Linked DNA regions of Sus scrofa. The protein of the gene in region 3 binds, or shares a complex with, the protein of the main gene of each other region. Links are inferred from orthologs where the notes say so. Each region holds a gene or a part of one and is shown on either strand. Other genes may lie near its edges.

Region 1 (3,970 bases), on a different chromosome or scaffold from region 3:
ATAGCCTTGGACATGGAGTCCTGAGCCCATTCCAGCTTCAGCACAGCCACCTACTAACCAAGTTACCCTGGGAAACTCAATCTCCCAGAAGCTCAGTTTCTCCTCTTCTCAACTATCCCACTCTAGTTGATGAGGGTGCTAATAGACAGGAAGGGATTAACTGACCCTAGTTCAATTAAGAAGGCTGATCAGCTTTGAAAAGAAAAAAAAAAGAGAAATGAAGTACATCGCATACAGTAAGGAAAGTACTGTTTTAGGAAACTTTGATTTTAGTGGGATACTCTGACTTAAAATATATTTATTATGGCTGCACTGTGGTCAAAACACTTGAAAGCTATTGCCCTTAGATCACCAGTTCTAGGGCAGGCAACCTAGGAATCACTAGTTAGGAGTCATCAGTTGAACTGGCATCCTTGGTTAAGGGAGTAAGGAAGAGGCTGCTGACTGAGTTCCACTGGCAATTCTTTCTGGAAAGTTCACTCTTGGGGACTTTTCAGTTTGGCTCAGAAAACTTTCACTAAATATCCACTGTGTGCTTAGAACCAGATGCTGCATCTCCTGCCTCTCTGGCCTCATCTACTAACCTCTCCCATTCTCTCGCTACTCCAGCCACTTCAACCTTGTTGATTCTTGACCAGGCATCATTGTGCCTCTGCCTCAGGGCCTTTGTACTTACTGTTCTCTCTGTCAGAAATGTTCTTCGCCCAGACAGCCATATGGCTTGCCAGCTTCCTTTAGATCTATGATGACTTGTCCCCTTTGCAGTAATATTGTCCCTCTCTCACTTCCTTGCTTTTTCTCCACAGCATTTTCAATACCTAACATACTACTTTTTCTTTCTTTCTAGGGCCGCACCTGCAGCATACAGAAGTGCCTGGCCTAAGGATGGAATCAGAGTGGCAGCTGCTGGCCTACACCATAGACACAGCAGACATGGGAGCTGAGACGAATCTGAGACCTATGCTGCAGCTTGCAGCAATGCCGGATACTTAACCCACTGAGCCAGCCAGGGATCCACCTTCATCTCCATGGATACCAGTTTTTTGTTTTGTTTTGCTTCTTAGAGCCACGCCCGAAGCATAGGGAGGTTCCCAGCCTATGGATATAATCAGAGCTACAGCTGCCAGCCTATGCCACAGCCACAGCAATGCACCAGATCCAAGTTGAGTCTGCGACCTACACCACAGCTCATGGCAACGCTGGATCCTTAACCCACTGAGCAAGACCAGGGATTGAACCTGCAACCTCATGGTTCTTAGTAGGATTTTTTTCTGCTGCACCACAACGGGAACTCCTGGATACTAGTTCTTAATCCACTGAGCCATGACGGGAACTCCACATACTACTTTTTAAACTTATGTATGTATGTTACAAAACATATTTATGAACTGATTTTACAAACATACATATTTTACTTATTTTAAGGCATATATGAGACATTAGGGCTGCAGTTTTTGTTTGTCCTGTTTGCTATTTTTTTCCCAGGTCCTGAGAATACTGCAAGGACCTAAAAATTTGTTAACTGAACAGATATAAAGGTGAATGAGACAGGTTCTGTTCCCAAGAAATTCAGTCTAATGGCGCTTCCTCTTTCTGGACTTTATCTCCTTTTTCTGTAAACTGAAGGAACTGGACTAGGGTCTGGACACTTTGCCATGCTTCTGAGTCTGAGAATCTCAGATGACAACACTTTGTGTCTGCATATCACTCTACAGTTTACACCTACCCTTTCATTTGATCACAACAACCCTGTGTGCGTGATGTGGTGGTGGGGATTATTTTCACACTGGAGATGTGGTAAAAAAGCTTGTGACTTACCCAAGGTTCCACAAATGGCAAGTGGCTGGCTGAGACTAGAACCCAGCCAGACCTCGGGTCCAATACTCCTTCCTCATCACCACTTGATACATAGGGTCCTGCCTATTATAAATGCTGCTGCAGACCAACTCTTAGTAATCTTCCAGAAATCCTGTCCCTGGGCCCCAACCATCCAGGATGGGGTCCAGGGTGCCCCTTGGGGGTCCCCTTAGGGACAGAGGAAATGGCTCCCCTCTCCATACCATGCAGTCCATGAGGATGAATTTGAGATTGTCTTCGTTAAATGCTTGGTTCCCGTTCCGGTCGTAGGCCGCCCAGATGTTACTGGCGATGGCTGCAGTGACTCGGGCGTCCGTATCCCCGTAACCAGAGTAGGCCAACAGAGATCCCTCGTTATTCAGCAGCCTGGAAAAGCATCAGAACGGATATCAACGTGCTCAGGATGGGGAGTAAAATACCTGACTTTCCATCCCAACTCGCCCACCGGCGCTCCTAGAAAGCAAGGGTCTGGGTTGAGTGTGTCCTAGAACATGCCCCAAACACCCAGCACGTCAGTTTCTCTTTCAAGAGTGGCCCTCTCGCCGGTTCACCCAAAGGCTGCCCCCTCTGCCACCTCCTCCCTTCCCAGAGAGCCTTCCCCACCCCTCCCTCGGAGAGCCGCGCGCAGCCCCACTCCAGTGCTCGCCGCTCGGCCTCTCGGTCCGCACTCACAGGGTGCTCTGGACACCTCCAGTGTTAGCTTGGCTTAGCACCTGGGTCAAAGCCTTGGGACGCAGCATGCCTGTGGCTCCTAACCCTGGGCTTTCACAACCTGATCCCGGAGTTTCCTATAACTGGCCTCCGCCTGCCGCTTCCCGTAGTCCAGCTGCCCGGCTCCAGAACTCCTGGGAGTTGTAGTTTCCTGGCCTGACTGTGCGGTTCTGACTCAACCCCGCCTCACCGCGGGGGGCGCTGGGAATTGTAGTTCCTCGAAGCTTCGCGAGGCACCCTGGGAACTACAGTTCGCCTTTCCAGTGAGACCACGCGGTTATGGGGGAAAAGAGCGGGAGTAAAAGGATAGTGGCAGTACTGGAAGGACATTTAACCCTCTCGGGCAGAGGAGTCATATCTGCTTGACAATCCACGATTCAGTAATTAAAAGAAAACAAAATTCCTATACTTGTCAGGCATACCTTGGGTTACTTCTCAAAGCAATTTTCTACATTATGCATAATTCTGTGAGATGAGGAGATAGATGCTATTGAGGAAATAGGCTCAGAAAGGCCATGCAGGCAAAAATCCAGGTCTCTGGAACTGTACTGAATAGACTTCTTGGAGGCCGCTACCCTCAGGGGAATTAAGTCAATCCTACAGAAGAGGTTTTAGGTAGATATCCAGAAGTGGAAAATTCAGCCTCCAAGTCGGGAGAAGCCTCAGGCCTGGAAAGGATTTGGGCTTTCCAAGAAAGACCAGTTATCATAGGGAACGGAGATAAAGCGGCGACACAGAAAGTCCTTTGTCCCGGAGAAAGAGTTAGTCGCGGAGGGGGCGGGTAGCTTTGGGCCCGGGGGCGGGGGGTTGGCACCTCAGCGCGACTCGGACCGGCTACCACGGGCGGTGGTCTCTCCCGGAGAGTTTGCTTCCCGCCCCTGTCCGGAGCAGCCCCTTTGGGGGCCGCCGCCCAGCAAGGCCCTGCCCAGGCTGCAGACCCCGGGCTCGGCCCTGGGCGGACCCCGCTGCAGTGGCCCCCCCGGTCCGCCCGGGGCGCTGTGGCTGCGGCTGGTCCGGAGGGGGCGGTGAAGCCTTGGGGAGGGGAGGGGAGAGGGGAGTGTTGGAGGCGCCGGAGCCGAGCACCGCCGGGCGGGCGGGGAGGAGGAGGAGCCGGGGCGGGCTGGCGGGCGGCCGGGTGGCGGCGGCGGCGGCGGCATGGCGGAGCCGAGCGGGGCCGAGACGAGGCCCCCGATTCGGGTCACCGTCAAGACCCCTAAGGACAAGGAGGAAATTGTGATCTGCGATCGAGCCTCGGTCAAGGAGGTAGTACGGGTGGTGGGGATTGGGGGGGTGCGGAGGAGTGGTCTGTGAAGAGGGGGGTGTCTCTGAGACCGTCGGGCGTATGGGAGGGCCGGGGAGAGGAGGGCGGGGGCCCAGCAGGCACTCGGGGAAGCGGGAGGGA
Region 2 (3,361 bases), on a different chromosome or scaffold from region 3:
GCTGTAGGGGATGACGCGGACGCAGCCCACGGGCAGCATGGTCTGGGGGGACAGGGCGCCTCAGAACCGGCCCCGCCAACGCGGCCCCCAGGTCCCCCCAGCTCTCCCGCTGCTCTGACCTCAGGCGTCCGTCTCTCGCCTCACCCCCCAAAAGCCTCTAAGGCTCTGGAGAGGCCGGTTCACTCTGCGGCCTCGGGGGCCTCGGCAGGGGCTGGTGTGCACCCTCGCGCACACTCGCGCACACTGGCAGAGCCAGACCTGGGCCCGGCGCCCCCTCGGCCTCCGGGGAGGCAGCCACACCTCGCCCCAGGGGCTCTCGGCGAGCCCTGAGCAGCGGACGGCGGGGGCCCAGACCCGCCTCCCCGAGTGACGGCTTCTCAGAGGCCCTGGGCTGGGGGGCGCGGCCGCCGGGACGGTCAGCCACCCATCAGCACAGCGTGGACCACGGGCTGGAGTGAAAACCACGGACGACCGCCCTTGGGAGTGGTGGACACACGCAGACCCGAGACGCAGGCGCGACCCTGCGCCCGGTCTCTGCTGCGTCCTCACCCGGCTGTGTGAGACCCGCCAGGCCGACACTCCTGCCACGAAACACGTAAGAAGAAAGACCCGCTCACCCGGAGAACCTCGAAGGCTGAGTGGACGAGGTCCGCGTCTCTGCTCTTCCAGATGACCTGGTTCCCCATGAGCACGTGCCAGGCCAGCATGCGAAAGGACGGGGCCCCCAGCACCTGCAAGACACGGTCGCGGTCTCGCGCGCGAGCCTTCTTCCCGCCCCGGGGAAGGTGTCCGTGCGTCTGTCTAGAAACTTCCTCTGCAGCGAGAATGGAGACCGGTCAGGACAGGCAGCGTCTCCGGGAGGCCGGGTGAACCTGCCCGAGGCAGGAGGGCGCAGGCTGACCCCGAGGCTCCTGCGCACATTAACATCTGTTCCCCGACGCTGTTCTCAAAAACTTGAGGCAGTTAAGTGCTGGCTTTTTGTCCACTTCTCTCCTGCTCTACACGCTGAAGCTTTGCCAAATCACGTCAGCGCGAGCCGGCGGGATCAAAGCCTCCGGCTTTAACCCACGCGAGCGGCCGCATTGAGGGTGGATTTGACAGGCGGCTCTTTTTCATCCCGAGGCCCCGAAGACCACCTGCCCTGAGGTCAGTCTCCACTTCACTGTCCAGAAGAGAAACGACCCTTTTCTGACAGGTTCACGCTCGATGTCAAAGTCAACTCCATCTGACAAAAGGGACAGGCCGCCTCCGCAAGCGCGCCGTCCGCCCGCCCGCCCACCCGCCGGCCCCCGCCACGCGCTGCACCACAGGCTCCGCTCCTGGGCTTCACGGCCCAGGGCGCACCTGCGGCACTGGGGTGGGCACGGCAGGGGTCTCTCACTCCCTGTGAGAACGGACGCCGTTTTCAACGTGTGAGGCACCTACGCTGTGCGCAAACCCACGGTGCTGTTCAATTCCTTTAGAAGGGTCTAGAATGATGCATCGTGAGACGTCAACGGTAAGGCCTTTTCTGAAAGAAGCCGCTGTATCCTCACTGACATCCCAGAGGCCACTGCCACCCTCAGCCGCCCCCCAGGAAGTTCCTGCGTCTCCTGCACACGACAGGCCCGAAGGACGAGGCGCTGGATGCGGAGAAGCCGAGAGGAGGGGACCCGGCTCCCCTACCTGCCGCCTACCTGCCGCATGTGCCGCAGGGACTTGAAGACGGGGGGCTTCCGCGGCTGCCAGGCTCCACGGTCGGAGAGCACGGCCGGGTCCGGGGGGCGCTGGGCCAGCTCCCGGCCGCCCGCGGCCTCTGACAGTGCAGGGCCTTCCCCCTCCTCTGCGGCCTCGGGGCTGCCCCAGCTCTCCGACTCCTCTTCCAGGTCTGCAACACAGACGCCGACTCAGTCCCCGCCGCGCTGCCCTGGGCGCCGGCGTCCCCTGTGCCCTGCACACGGCCACCACGGCCCAAGGACACGCGTGGTTCACAGCGTCTTCTCTCCGCGTCACACGCAAAGGGCCTCACGAGTGCCCTCGAGCCAGGATGTCACGCAGCTGTGTCCCACCCAGCGTGCGCTCTGAGCCCCTCTGCTCACCTTCGCGGCCAAACACAGTCCCAGTCCCGAGAGTGAGCCCCGCACGCGGGCGTCCCCTCCCCCGACACGCACGCCCGGCTCCCCGCGTGAGTACATTTTGACGCAGGCCGCCCTCGCCGTCTTCACGGGCCGGGAACTTTCATCCCCACTTAGAGGCCATCCCGTGTGGCCACAAATCCGGAGGCGAGGCTGTGTCCTGACCAGGTCCTGCTCTGGCTGAACCAGCTGCCCCCCACACGACGCAAGTCCCCCGACTCCAGGAATAACCTGGGAACAGCTCCAGGGCGTGCTGCCAGTCACCTGCACAACTGCGCACCGGACGCACCCAGAGAGGCTGGGGACCGAGCCCTGGATGTGCACCGCCGGAAGCCGCCTCACCGCGGAGGGGAGCAGCGCCCCCGGGCCGGGCCAGACAGAGCGGCAGACCAGGAGCCCAGGGAGGGCGGCCCCAATGCCGAGAGGCTCGGGAGCCACCACGTGCAGTGACGTACGATGTTCTACTGTTAAAACGCAAAGAACTGGGGTCCCTGGTGGCCCGGTGGTTAAGGACACAGCTGCTGCGGCTTGGGTTCGATCCCCGGCCCGGGAACTTCTGTTTGCCACGCAGCGGCCAGAAAAGGGCAAAGGATGCATCACCGTCAGAAAGGCCAAGCGGCTGCTCACGTCACACAGGGACGCGAAAGCTCCAAGCCGTCCTGAGTCTCTCCCGAGCGACAGCCGACAGCCCTCGCCAGTGGCCGTCAAGGAAAACGAGACAGGAAACGGCGAGAAAGAGGCGAAGCGCGAAGAGCCAGCTTCTGCGATGGCTTCCCGCTGGGTGGCGGGGTGCAGACGGCCCCGCGGCCCCAGCCCCGGCAGGCGCGGCGCCCGCTCACCTGCGAGCTGCTCCATCTGGACCAAGGTGTCCTCGGTGGGCGCGCCTTCCAGGAGCTTCTCGGTCAGCCGGCTGCCACACGCCTTCAGGAGCCTGCGGAACAGAGCGTCCCTGACGCGCCTTCCCCGGGGCAGAACTGGACCAGGGGCAAGCCAGCCTCGCGCCCCGACTACGGCTAACGGGAAGCACGGCTGTGAGAGAAGGGGCTGAGCAAGCCCCGAGCGGACCCTACAGCACACGTGGCCCAGGCCTCCAACCAAAGGCAGGAAGTCGGGGTGGCGGGGTCTAGACGGAGAAGCCTGCCGCACGGTCCAGCGCCTGTGCGGGGCGCTGACCCCACCACACAGTCCGCCCAGTGGCAGGGCCCGCAGAGGGACCGCGGCCTGGGCTGTGTGGCCTTATCGGGCCG
Region 3 (4,038 bases):
GCCCCGCCTGCCCCGCCCTGCACGGGACCAGCCCTTCACAGCCTCTTCCTACTCAACCCTGAGCTGCCTGTGTCCACAGTTTCCAACAGCTTCTGCCTCATCAGCTCCAAACTTCTAGACACCCCGCCCTCCCTAAAACACAGGGTATTAAAGGGCTAGAAAGACCAAATGTTTGCCAAAAATTAAACCAAGGAAAGCTGACTACATAATGAAGCCAGAGTTGGCTTGCTACGTGCCCATTCTTCCCCCAGCCCCAGTTCAGACAGATCCTCCTGCAGGACAGGGCAGTTTCTCCCCTATCCAGGGTCCTTCAAAATCAAGGTTGCGAGAATTCCCACTGTGGCTCAGCAGGAATGAACCCGACTAGAATCCATGAGGACGCAGGACCCTGGTCTCACTCAGAGGGTTAAGGATCCCGTGCGGCTGTGGCTGTGGTGTAGGCCGGCAGCTGAAGCTCTGATTCTACCCCTAGCCTGGGAACTTCCATAGGCCGCATGTTCGGCCCTAAAAAGCAAAAAACAAAAAAAGAAAAACAAGGTTGCTTTCCTGAAACCTAGACTCCTGGAAGAGGCCATACTACCGCCATCAGAGTGAACAAATAACATCACGCCACCCACAAGAGGGTGAGTGGAGCAGGGGGGGTAGTTTTTCACGCCACCGTTTGTCCCTGGGTCACTGTCAACCTGGACGTCCAGAGTCTCACTCTCTACTGCAGCACAGACACACATGTGGCCTGCCTGTGACTGGCCACCTGGTCTGTGGGAAAAGCTAGAATCACAGCTTGGCGCAATGGATAAAGACGCAACTTGGCATCATGACACCTTGGCTGTGGCACTTCTCAGCTGTGTAGCCGTGGCTAAATCACTCAGCCCGTCTGAACTTTTTTTTTTCCACTTTCAAATAGACATGACCTGATGACAGAGGTTCGGAGAGAGTCAAGTGAGAGCATCGTAAAAGGCCTTTGAAAACTGTAACGTGTTATTTCTTTTTATTATTGTAACAAAGATGCAGAAATGAGAGTAGGAAAGGGGCCTGCCCAAGACCTGAAAGAGGGGACAGTGAATGGTGACGGCTTGCAGACCAGGCAAGCAAACCTTTGCCACATGAGGCCTCAAATCGCCCAGGACTGATCAAGCACCATCTCTGGGAATTAGAAACAGCAGTGAAAGCCCATCAGGGGAGGGGGAGAACCAGGAGAGCATCAGCTGCCACTAGAAGCTGGTTTCTCATAAAGCACTAACCTTTGACTCATTCCCTGCAAGAGTCCACACTATGCTTGAAGAGCCAATTTCCCATTAGGCCACAGTTTTCCCAGTAGACTGGGCCACTGTCTCCTATTCCTAACAGGCTGCCTGCAGTGAGTTGTGAGGCACAGCCCTGAGGCACACCTAGCACAGGCACAGAAACATGAGCGTACGTCCACGGGGTGTCCGGAGACTTAATGAGGCCCAGGAGCCACCCATGCCTCCCATACAAATGGTGGTTTCCCAAGCTTAAGTCCTTGACCCCAAATAGGTTCATGTGAATCACTGAAGAAGGACCTACTTCCCATGTACCAGTGATGTAATCCATTTCTGTGACCATCTACTCCACTTGCTGAAACCTTCCTGCTGTTTCTGGGTCTGTTGAAATGGAGACTCCAGGCTTAGAGGCCACAAAAAAGCAAGGGGCCAACAACGTGAGACTTCATCCTTGAAAAGGTCTGCCCCTCCTCAAAGGAGGTCAGGCAGGGCAGGGTTTAAAGTGTGGCAAGAAGTGAGAGGAGAGAATACACCAAGGGGAAGAGGGAGCATTTAAAACTGTACGTGCCTCCCAGCCTAATCCTTTCTGCCAAGGGAACCAGATCTACACCCAACTCCCCAGGACAAGCCCCCCTCTACCTAGAGGAGCCTTCAGGCTCCAGGCAGGGGCTGCACTGAGGGAGGCCAAACGGAGTTCCCTGTCCTACCTCTCTTCCCCGAGCCTCAGCATAGCCGAAGCTAAACGTGATCTGTGGCTTTCCAACTTCCCACACGCCGCGCCCCCCCAAGTCCTCACCGTGTCTATTAAACCCTTCACTGACCAACTCAAACGACACCAATTTCCAGAGGCCTTCTCTGCTCTCAGATTAGCAGTGACCTTCCTTCTTCAACTCCAGGGATTCAGAGTCTATACACGATTCCTGACTCACATCAGCTCAATCTGACTTAGCGCCTCGGCTTACCCACCTCTACAACGGATTCACAAAGCTCGCTAATACAAACACGAAGCGGGCACAGGAACCTGGGAAGAGAGCGCTTCCCCGGGACCTAGGCTGAGGATCCCTGAAGTTGTAAAGGTCTCAAGGTAGGGGCAAATGGAACGGGCGGGGGCGAGCAGGAGAGGCGGCGGCCTGCCACCCCAACACGGGGGCTGTGCCGACAGCACTGGGGCTTTAAAGGGGGTAGGAGCCCGGCCCGGCGTCTCCTCTGTAGGCTGTCCCCTCCGGGCCTCCGTACTCGGGGAGCCCCACAGTCCGGCGGACCCTCTTTCGCAGGCTTTTCTCTGGGCCCCGTGCCCCGGGGTCTCAGCCCTCGCTCCCGAGCCCCGCCCGCGGCGGCCGCACCTGGTCCGAGTCCTCGTTCTCGCTGCTGTAGCAGCACCCCATGGCGGGGGTAGGGCCGGGCGCTCAGGCCGCGCCGAGCAGGGACGGCGTCCGTCAGGAGCCCTTCCGGTCACATGACCCGCGCCTGCATCCAGCACAGACCCACAGTCCCGCGCCAACCCCTTTCCAGAGCTGCTGCTCGCCGCGGCTGCCGCCGGAACCCCGGCATCCGGCCCCGCCCCCAGCGCGTGATCACTGCCAGCCAATGGGGAGGCGTCCCCGCGTGACAGGCCGTGAGACACGTGACGCCAGGAACGGGAGGGGTGAATCACATGATTTCAGCCTCTTCGCGGTCTCAGCTGGAGACCTCCCCTGCCCGGGAGAGAGGCCCTTCCTTGTGCGACGTGGGTTGTCCGGGGAGGGGGCCCCCAGGCTCCCTTTGTGGGCCATTAGGCGATTTCATACCGAATGCCATTGGAGGGGCGAGGGGATGCAGACTCGACGCTCAAAGAGCGCCCAATGTGGTTACACATCCATAGGCCCCGGTTGCCCGGCGTAACTTCCAACGTGGGGTGTGGGGTGTGGCTTCCCACGTGGACTGGGGGTCCGAGACTTACTGGAAGAAGGAAACTTATACCTTCACAAGCAACGCAGAGTGGAGCTCAATCCCGGGAGAGGAGATACAGCCCGTGTCACTGATCTGGCCGTCGGGCACTTCTCTTCAATGCTGCCTTTGTAGAGCAGTACTAGTAATCTAACACACAAAGCACATCATCAGTGCTCTTCTTGGAACCATGCCACATCTTCCCTTGGACTCTGAAGACAAGTCCAAGTCTGTCATGCAAGGTTCTGCAGAGCCAGACACCCACTCCAGGCCTGGGACAGTGGAGGAGGGATGGGGTGAATGTCTCACCAACCATGGGGAAACACTGTTTCCTGGTTGACTTCCTGGACTTTGCACACGTGGCCTAGCACGCTGTCTCCCCCACCGTGTGGGCCTGCCAGAAGTCCCTGTGGTTAGAGCATGCGTTCTAGTGATCACATTGTACTATGTTCTCTGTTCCTGTGTCAGTCTCTTCTACCAAAGGTGGGGTTCCCGGGGACAGGGGGCAGGATCTGACTCTTCTCGGTGACTTAAGCCTCAGCATTTGCTTAGAATTTGGAATTCATGAATAAATTACAACTTCCCATTAACTTGGCTCACACCATACTCTGTCCTGAACCAAGGGGTTGAAGGAGAGATCCCCAAACCCAGGAGCTCTGTTACCCTTCAAATCAAGACCATGGAGTTCTATAAGTTCTTTGAAGGCTCCTGAAGGGTAAGAGGCAGCTCCAGCTTGTCCCTGGGGCTGGTAACTTGACCTGCTCTTCTCAGGTGACAGCAGCAGCCTCAGCATCAATAATTGAGAGCAGGTCCAGCCTGCCTCAGAGTTCCTCCCCACCCCGAGGACTGCCCCCTCCTGTCTTGTGCGCTG
Region 4 (3,986 bases), on a different chromosome or scaffold from region 3:
TGTGAAATTGGATTGTTATGATCATTATACAACTACAGATGTGATAAATTCATTTGAGCAATAAAAAAATAAATTTATATATATTTTTATTAAACAGTAATTGATTTACAATGTCATGCCAATTTCTGCTGTACAGCAAAGTGACCGCACACACACACATTTCTTTTCTTATATTATCTTCCATCATGGTCTATCCTAAGAGATTGGATATAGTTCCCTGGGGTATACAGTAGGACCTCATGGTTTCTCCATTCTACATGTAATAGTTTGCATCTACTAACCCCAAACTCCCAGTCCATCCCACTCCCTCCCTCCTCCCCCTTGGCAACCACAAGTCTGTTCTTTATGTCTGTGAGTCTGTTTCTGTTTTGTAGGTAGGTTCATCTGTGGGACCTTGAAAGTTTCTTAAAGAAATTAATTTAGTTTTAGATTTCCATACTTGAATCTCAACCTTTCCATCTGTAAACCTGGCAAGCACCTCAAAAAAAAAAAAAAAAAAATCTCCCTTTTCTTCCAACTAACTGATTTGTGTATAAAACCTGAGTTACACAGACTAATTCTTTCAATTACCCTCCCTGCAAAAATTCAGAGCTTTAAAAAAATCTTGCAGAACAGAAGAGTAGTGAGCAGGGTGTCCTGGGTTTACTAGTTCTGACATTAATTAGCTGAAGCCTCCCATTGTTTACCTTTCTGGATTTCTTTCCTCATCTGCAATTTGTTACTATCTGTTGAGCATCATGTCTGGGTTCTGTGCTGAGTGTTTTACATATTTTATATGATCCTATATTATTGTGATGTAGAGGCTTTGGGGCCAGACTCAAATCCTAGCTCAATCACTTACTAGTTGTATGACCCTGGTCCAGTTACTCAACCTCTGTGCCTCAATTTCTTTATCTACCTCATAGGATTGTTACAAGGATTAAATGACTTGATATGTGGAAAGTGCTTATAATGGTGCCTGGCACATAGAGCTCAGTAAGTGCAATTCCATAATAATAATTATTATCAAACAACAACCCACTACAGAAACTGAAATTCGGAAAGGTTCTTTTTGGTCCAGGTTCACACTAGTAGTACAGGGGAGGGCTGGGGGTTGAACCTAGGTGTGTCTGAGCTTGCACCCCTCATTTTTACTGCCTACTTACTGTTCAGTGAAGTTGAACTAAAAAATAACACCATCCATCTGGCAGGGTTACTGGGGAAATTTAGCAGTCCCAAAATACATTCAATAAATGGTAACTGCTGTCATTATCTGAAGTCCTTTCTAGACTCTGTTTAGAATGATTCAAATACTATTCTAGAAGAAACAACTATGTAGTGCTAGAACTGCAAGGGACATCTCCACCTTTATAAGTATCAACTGAAAACATTCAGTTTTCTAATTTTGCTATTGGGAGATGATCTCTATTTACAGAAAAGTCCCCCAAAAGTGGCAGGGTGGCAGGAAATGCAAACTAGAGAAAGCACCCTAGGCTCCCAGTCAACATCAAGTGCTGTGCAATCCCTGGAAGGGCTGTTGTCAGATACTTACATCCCAGATTGAGTCCTTGTGAATCTGTGCACAGGACTCCAACAATGGATGGATTCTTCATTCTAATTCCAGGGACACAGGAAGAAAGAAGCAAATGATGTAGGAAAAATGGATTTAAATATAACACACACAGGCTTTCTATGTACCCAGCACTGCTGTTAAGTGCTTTAAATCAGTGTTAGTCTTTTTTCTTTATCCCTCATCCCTACTCCAAGAAAAATTACATTAAATCATAATAAGCTAACTTTAATGATGGTTAAACTAATTTCTCTCTGATGAGAGAAAAGACTGCCAGGTACTGCTAAGCTTTGGAGGGCTACAAACGTTGCAATAGCTAGGATTTTGTTGCCCTCGTTAAAAATATGTATTTTAGCCTACTCTCTCACTTGAAAGAACTGCTGAAAAGCTAACTAAAACTGGTTGCCCCATGGAGAGGAAGTGGGAAGCTGAGCGGCCCTGATGCAAGGGAGGTGTCTCCCTGTACGCCGTCTTAAACTTTTCTAATTTTGGATTTTACGTAGACACTATCTGTTCGAAAAATTTAAAGGATGTCTTTCATCTTCTTGAGCACCAAATAACTGGTTACACCAGAAGGAGGTACGCGTGTGTGTTTACGTTTACACTGAAGATACAGGTGGTAGGTACCTCCTTCCCCCAAATGAACTCGGTTCCTAAAACTCCTAAAGAACGGCCCCGCCCAAACAATTTCTACACGACAGGCGGGATTTGGGCTCGGACCCGGGACACTTGTTCCGGAGGGAGTGTGCGGAGCACCGGCGGGATTTAATTCCGGGTTACCCTCCACTCCCATCGGCGGCCCGGGGAGAGAACGTCCCCAAGAAGCCCAGCGGGCAGTCACAGCTCGCGCCTTCTGTTGCGCTCAAGGACAGGCCCGCCGCGAACCCAGGACAGGCCGACGTGGCCACATTACTTACGTGTCCTCCAAGTGCTGCTCCAAGGTTGCTTCCATCCCGCCGCCGTCCGCCGGGCGCACCACCCACGGTGGGTCTTCTCCTAGGAAACTGGTCTCCGGCTCCGCTTGGTCAGTCACATGATGCGAGCAGGACGCGGACCTGGACGGCGCCTCCAAAGGGACAAACTTCGTGGCGCAGTCTCGGCGTTTTCTCCGGGATGATGTCATTACGCGCCCTCTGCCGCCGCGAGCTGGGCGGGGTTCTGCTGCCTGGGGTGCGACCCGCGAGGGGACCGCGCGGGATGTACCCCCGGGAGGGAGGTCTGTAGTCTTCCCTTGGAGCCAGCTTCCTGGCCTGTCCCTTTGTCTCCGCCGTACAGACCTTTGGATTTCGATTCCACCGACTCCGAGAAGTCGGGCCAGGTCTGGTTGAAGTTTTACAATAATCCGGCCGGCCCCGCGGGGTCCCATCCAGGTGGTAGGGCAGGGACAGACAAGAGAGACACAGGATTCCGATGAAGGGTTCCCCAGGCTTGGAGGGACAAAGAGAGGAAGGACAAGGGACTAGAGGATGAGGCGGAACAAAATTAAAACCCCAAGCTGGGTAGGGGGGCAAGTGTTGCGATTTTTCGAAGACGTTGGTTCTTCCTCTTTGGAGAGGATTCGGGAACGTTTGAGAAAGAAGGTGTCATTGTAATAAAGACTGGGTAGGACCACTTAAAAAGTAACCTTTAAAAAAAGTTAATTACAAAAGCAGTTATAGGGAGTTCTGGTCGTGGCTCAGTGGCTAACGAATCCGACTAGGAACCATGAGGTTGTATGTTCGATCCCTGGCTTGCTTAGTGGGTTAAAGATCCGGCGTTGCGGTGAGCTGTGGTGTAGGTCGCAGACCCGGCTCGATCCCACGTTGCTGTGGTGGCTCTGGCGTAGGCGGGCTACTACAGCTCCGATTCGACCCCTAGCCTGGGAACCTCCATATGCCGCAGGAGCGGCCCTAGAAAAGACATAAAGACAAAAATTAAAAAAAAAAGCAGTTGTAAAAATAAGGAAAGAAAGCCCACCCATTGTCTTTGTCCGGAGATGACTGATAAGGCCTTGGAGAATATTCTTTCCGCCGGTTGGTTGTCTTTGCAAATGTATACTTTGTGTTATTGTTTTTTCTTTTTTAAAGCTAAGTTGACACACATATTGTACAAACAATTCTGTAGCTTATCTTTTTCACAAAATTTAGCAAAAATGTCTTTCTGACATAAAGTTCATTTACGGCATTTGTAATACTTAGAAAATATTACATATTATAGCTTAACCAACCCCTTATTAATGTACAGTTAGGTTGCTTATAGTTTTGTTGTTGTCGTTGTTATGTTTGGGTTTTGGCTGTGACAAATGCTGGATGAATATTCTTATGGCCAAATATTTGTGCAGTTTAAATTTTTTCTTATAGTAAGTTACAAGAATGGAATTATTGGGTCAAGGTTTTAAAGTCTTTTAATATACACTTACAAGTTACCCCCCAGAAAGGTGGTTCCAGTTTACACTCAG
Region 5 (4,065 bases), on a different chromosome or scaffold from region 3:
TCACAAGATTTTCTATGCCCATTAGAATGTATATAATCAAAACTCTAAAATGGTTAACAGTACATTTTGTCAGGTATTTTTTACAACGTAAAAAAAAGCTTATAAAAAAAATCAGACTAACAATATCAGTTATTGCAGAGGATCTGGAACAACTGTAACCTTCACACACTGCCAGTGGGAATACAAATGGTACAACTATTTTGGGAAAGCTTGGCAATTTTTTTAAAAAGTTAAGCATATACTTTGCATATGACCCAGCAATCCCACTCCTAGAGAAATGAAAACCTATTTCTGGGTAAGGATTGTTCACAAATGTTCACAGCAGCATTGTTCCTTATAGCCCAAATCTGAAAACAACCCAAATGTTTCCCAACCAGGGAATGGATAAATAAATTGTGGTGTACCTATACAATGGAAAACTATTCAGCAATAAAATGGGAGGAACTACTGATAAATGCAAAACATGGATGAATGTCAAAATCATCAAGAATTAAAATAAGCCAGACACAAAAGATTCTAGAAAAGTCAAAACCTTTGTAATTACACAAAAAGCGGATCAGTGATTGCCCTGGGCAGGAGGGGTTAAGGAACGACAGAAAAGGGGCATGAGGGGTTCTAGGGGTGTTGCAATGTTCTAAAACCTCACTGAAGTGAGGGGTACACAACTGAATACATATAGCAAAATTCATATAACTATACACTTAAAATGGCTCAATTTCACTGCATGTAAATTACAGCTCAATGAAGATGTTAAAAAAAAACTTGGGTTGATTAAATTTGCAAGTTATTAGGTGTGTGTTGTTACTAGTTTTCATCTTCTCAAATGTACACTTCCACACATTTTTTAAAGTAATAACTTCCATACTATTCTGCAGTTATTGTGCTTACACATAATTCTTAATTTCACTGGAAGAAGTATCATGTATTTATCTACACTGCTACTTGCCCTATCTCACAAGGTTGTTGTGAAACATCACATGAGATAACCGATGAGAAAGCACTTGAGCAACTCTGAAGTAGTATTACACAACCATACAGAATACTTACATTTTCAAAAAACAGTTTTGTTTTGTTTTCAAAACAATGACTTGAGATGCTTGGAAACTTGGGTACCCCAAAGTGAATCTTTGCTCAGAAATAGAATGCCTCTTCAAATATTTTAATATCCCTCCTGAACTTACTTTCTACTGACCCTTGGCTTACTAGATGGCTCAATGTAGTATGATCTACACTGCACTTTCATTTTTCAAAATAAAAATACCAAAGAAATCTTTAAAGAAAGTCATTAGATGAACAGGGCAAGACATTTATTTCCCAGTAGAAAGGACCGAAAGCTAGATAACTGTCTTTTCGAAGCACCGTTCCAAGATGTTCACCATTTACATTTTTCTTCCTCTAAAAGTCAAACTTCTTTCCATTTAATACCTCAATTTTACTTTACTGAATATGTATTAATGGGACCTGTATTACCGAGAGTGAATAATTTTAGGATTATCAAAACCTTTTAAACCAGTGTGGTGCAGTCATTTTAGACTGTGGGTGTTGCAAAATTTAACAGATGTTCATTTTTTCCTACTACTACTGTACAACTGGGCTCTTTGCTACCCTACCAAGATTGAGTGATATTTGACATTTAGCCTAGTTACATTCACAAGCTTTCACACGGCAACAAGTATGAAGGCTGTTTGGAAGACATAATCTCATCTTCAAAAGAAGTTTCGAAACTAAATTTTACCTGGAATTCAGGCTTATTATTAAGTCTTACAATTTTAAAGTTTTCCTATCAGCAACAGGTACTGCAACCAAAAATTAACAAAGCCTGTAATACCACAAAATATGTCGCTATCAGTCTCAATCTTTAAAGACTCATTTTTAGTAACAGTCTCAAGAGGATGGTCAATTCTATGGCTGTGCTTCATTTGATTTAGCGCAGCCTCATTCTGGTCAGTAATAACCACAACCTCTGAGGTTTCACGTATCTCCCTCCTTCGGTAACATTAGGGCCACTAGGTCCGGTATCTACACACCTTCAATTTAGGTTTACAAGAAATGCGAAAGAATGGCAGCTTGTCTACTGAAACAGCCTACTCTAAACTCGGAAGGTTGGCCAAAACGTGCCGCTCTCTCCACGACAGCAACCAAACTGGAATGGAGCACCCAGAGGACGACTGGGCACGGGGAGGAGGGGAGAACTACTCCGCCCGGAGGACGGCGGCTGAGGTCCAATCCAGCCCGCGCCCAACTCTACGCGCCTCCAGGAAGGCGTGTGGACCCTAAGCTCAGCCGCGATGCTCGGTCCTGTGGGGCAGACCCGCGAGCGGCTGACGAGCAAGGCGTAAACAAACCCACCCGGACGAAGAGGAAGGGGCAGCCATGGGGTTGGGGGGTTGGGGAGAAAGGAGCTCGCTCGAACACTCCAGCACAAAGCTGCTCGGCCCCTCCCGACCGCCGGCTCAGATCCCGGTCCTGGCGCGGCGCTACCGCGCGAGCGTGAACACCGAAAGCCCCAGCACCTCTGGAAGCCGAGGCCACCAGGCCATCGGCCTCGCGCCCCTCGCCCTGCAGTGCCTACCTGAACGCACAATCCGGGTCTCTTGCATCCCGACCAGACGCCCCCAGGCCGTTCCTCTTGCTGAAGAGCTTCTGGAACAGCGTAGGAGCCATGGTGGCCACGGCCAGGCCAGGGTCGCTCCTCAAGGCTCTCGCCAGGCCCCTGCTCCTAGAGCTGCCCCGCCACCCCCATAGGCGCCTCAGTCATATGACAGAAATTAGTCACTTCAAACGGCCACGGCGCGCGGGGCGGGGCGAGAGGCAAGGCCTGCGCCCATTGGCTGGCAGTGAGCCGCATCACGTGGCGGCGCGCAGAGCAGGGTGCAAGGCGGGGGCGCGGGGCGGGGCTGGCGTCCATAGGCTGGCGTCCGAATAGCCTCCCGTGGCAGCTCAAGAGGCGGGGCGTGCGTGGAGCGGGGCGTGCGCGGAGGGGAGGGGCGGGGAACGGACGGGTGGTTGGGGAAGTGAAGGAGGTGTGTGCGCGGGTCCCGGTTCTACTCAGTGAAGCTCTCGGTTGCTACCTGAGGCTACGGCAGGGTGTCGCCGGGACGACGCCAGGCATTTTGGAGCGCAGAGGTTCTCCGCACCCACGACAAAGAGAGATTTAGGGCACCACGAGTACTCGACCCTCCCCCGCCATCTCCTCCTTGGCCTTTGCGGCTTCACACCTCCATCTGCTCCTGGCAGAGTACCGCGGCCCCCGGAGCAGACAAGGCGCGAGAGCGTACCCTTGGCCCCCACCCCCGCACGGCCTGGACTTTAAACCCAGGGCCGTAGGCCCTACCGTGCTGGGCCGCGAGAGGTATGAGCTCAGAGCTCGATAGCGCCGGGCTGGCTTATGCAGTCCACTTGAGGACCCTGCTAAGACACTCGCCAAAGCCAGTACTCCCCGCAGAAACGGCCTGGGCAAGAAACTGCCCGCATCGGCCCTCCGTGTTTCCAATAGCTTCTCGAACGCTGATGTACCAGGAATTAGCCTCTTGGAAGAGCTGGCCATAGAGGCTCAGGATTTAGGCTCAATCTTAATATCTAGGTATGGAGAGAGAGTGCAACTGTGGAATTTGAACAAATGAGTTTAATAGGAGGAACCCTTTCAAAAGAAAAACATTGCTCATAGATGATCTTACAATCTAATAAGTAGGTTAATCCAAAATTTATCAGGGTTTGGGTCATATTGCTCTTAGATGTTTTCAACACCACTATTCATTCACCTGCTGCCCCTCCAGGATAAGGAATTTTGTACCGCGGGGTGGCAATTCTCTGACAGGGATGTCAGGAAACTACTGCTATGTGGTTTGGAAGGTTAGCTTAAAATAGTTGAGAATTTCATTTTAGGCATACAAATCAAATTGTCTCTTCAAGTGGCTACTAACTCGCACTGATTTGCAGCTATAGTTTATTCTATAAAATAGGTGATCTTATATAGAATGAAGAAAATAATAGGCAGAACATCTCAAAGAATTTCAGTGGTCATATAACATAACATGCTGTTTCAATGTTACAAGAATTTTAAAA

The links.
Region 1: LAMTOR1 (region 3) and LAMTOR2 share a complex: the UniProt entries of both Homo sapiens proteins name them as parts of the ragulator complex. The link is inferred for Sus scrofa from reciprocal best matches to the Homo sapiens genes LAMTOR1 and LAMTOR2.
Region 2: LAMTOR1 (region 3) and FLCN share a complex: the UniProt entries of both Homo sapiens proteins name them as parts of the lysosomal folliculin complex. The link is inferred for Sus scrofa from reciprocal best matches to the Homo sapiens genes LAMTOR1 and FLCN.
Region 4: LAMTOR1 (region 3) and LAMTOR5 share a complex: the UniProt entries of both Homo sapiens proteins name them as parts of the ragulator complex. The link is inferred for Sus scrofa from reciprocal best matches to the Homo sapiens genes LAMTOR1 and LAMTOR5.
Region 5: LAMTOR1 (region 3) and FNIP1 share a complex: the UniProt entries of both Homo sapiens proteins name them as parts of the lysosomal folliculin complex. The link is inferred for Sus scrofa from reciprocal best matches to the Homo sapiens genes LAMTOR1 and FNIP1.

Annotation. Positions count from the first base shown.
Region 1 is NC_010446.5:93,972,757-93,976,726, forward strand, and holds the start of LAMTOR2 (ragulator complex protein LAMTOR2), read right to left. Parts: upstream 2,806-3,970; 5' UTR 2,598-2,805; coding exon 2,530-2,597; intron 2,224-2,529; coding exon 2,061-2,223; intron 1-2,060. Other genes in the region: UBQLN4 (ubiquilin-4), read left to right, coding at 3,724-3,831. UniProt on the Homo sapiens protein: As part of the Ragulator complex it is involved in amino acid sensing and activation of mTORC1, a signaling complex promoting cell growth in response to growth factors, energy levels, and amino acids.
Region 2 is NC_010454.4:61,039,199-61,042,559, reverse strand, and holds part of FLCN (folliculin), read right to left. Parts: intron 3,046-3,361; coding exon 2,954-3,045; exon of another isoform or gene 1,868-2,953; coding exon 1,677-1,867; exon of another isoform or gene 732-1,676; coding exon 618-731; intron 43-617; coding exon 1-42. UniProt on the Homo sapiens protein: Multi-functional protein, involved in both the cellular response to amino acid availability and in the regulation of glycolysis.
Region 3 is NC_010451.4:6,677,268-6,681,305, forward strand, and holds the start of LAMTOR1 (ragulator complex protein LAMTOR1), read right to left. Parts: upstream 2,801-4,038; 5' UTR 2,627-2,800; coding exon 2,585-2,626; intron 1-2,584. UniProt on the Homo sapiens protein: Key component of the Ragulator complex, a multiprotein complex involved in amino acid sensing and activation of mTORC1, a signaling complex promoting cell growth in response to growth factors, energy levels, and amino acids.
Region 4 is NC_010446.5:109,721,481-109,725,466, reverse strand, and holds the start of LAMTOR5 (ragulator complex protein LAMTOR5), read right to left. Parts: upstream 2,804-3,986; 5' UTR 2,673-2,803; coding exon 2,467-2,672; intron 1,594-2,466; coding exon 1,532-1,593; intron 1-1,531. UniProt on the Homo sapiens protein: As part of the Ragulator complex it is involved in amino acid sensing and activation of mTORC1, a signaling complex promoting cell growth in response to growth factors, energy levels, and amino acids.
Region 5 is NC_010444.4:134,090,605-134,094,669, forward strand, and holds the start of FNIP1 (folliculin-interacting protein 1), read right to left. Parts: upstream 2,805-4,065; 5' UTR 2,665-2,804; coding exon 2,573-2,664; intron 1-2,572. UniProt on the Homo sapiens protein: Binding partner of the GTPase-activating protein FLCN: involved in the cellular response to amino acid availability by regulating the non-canonical mTORC1 signaling cascade controlling the MiT/TFE factors TFEB and TFE3.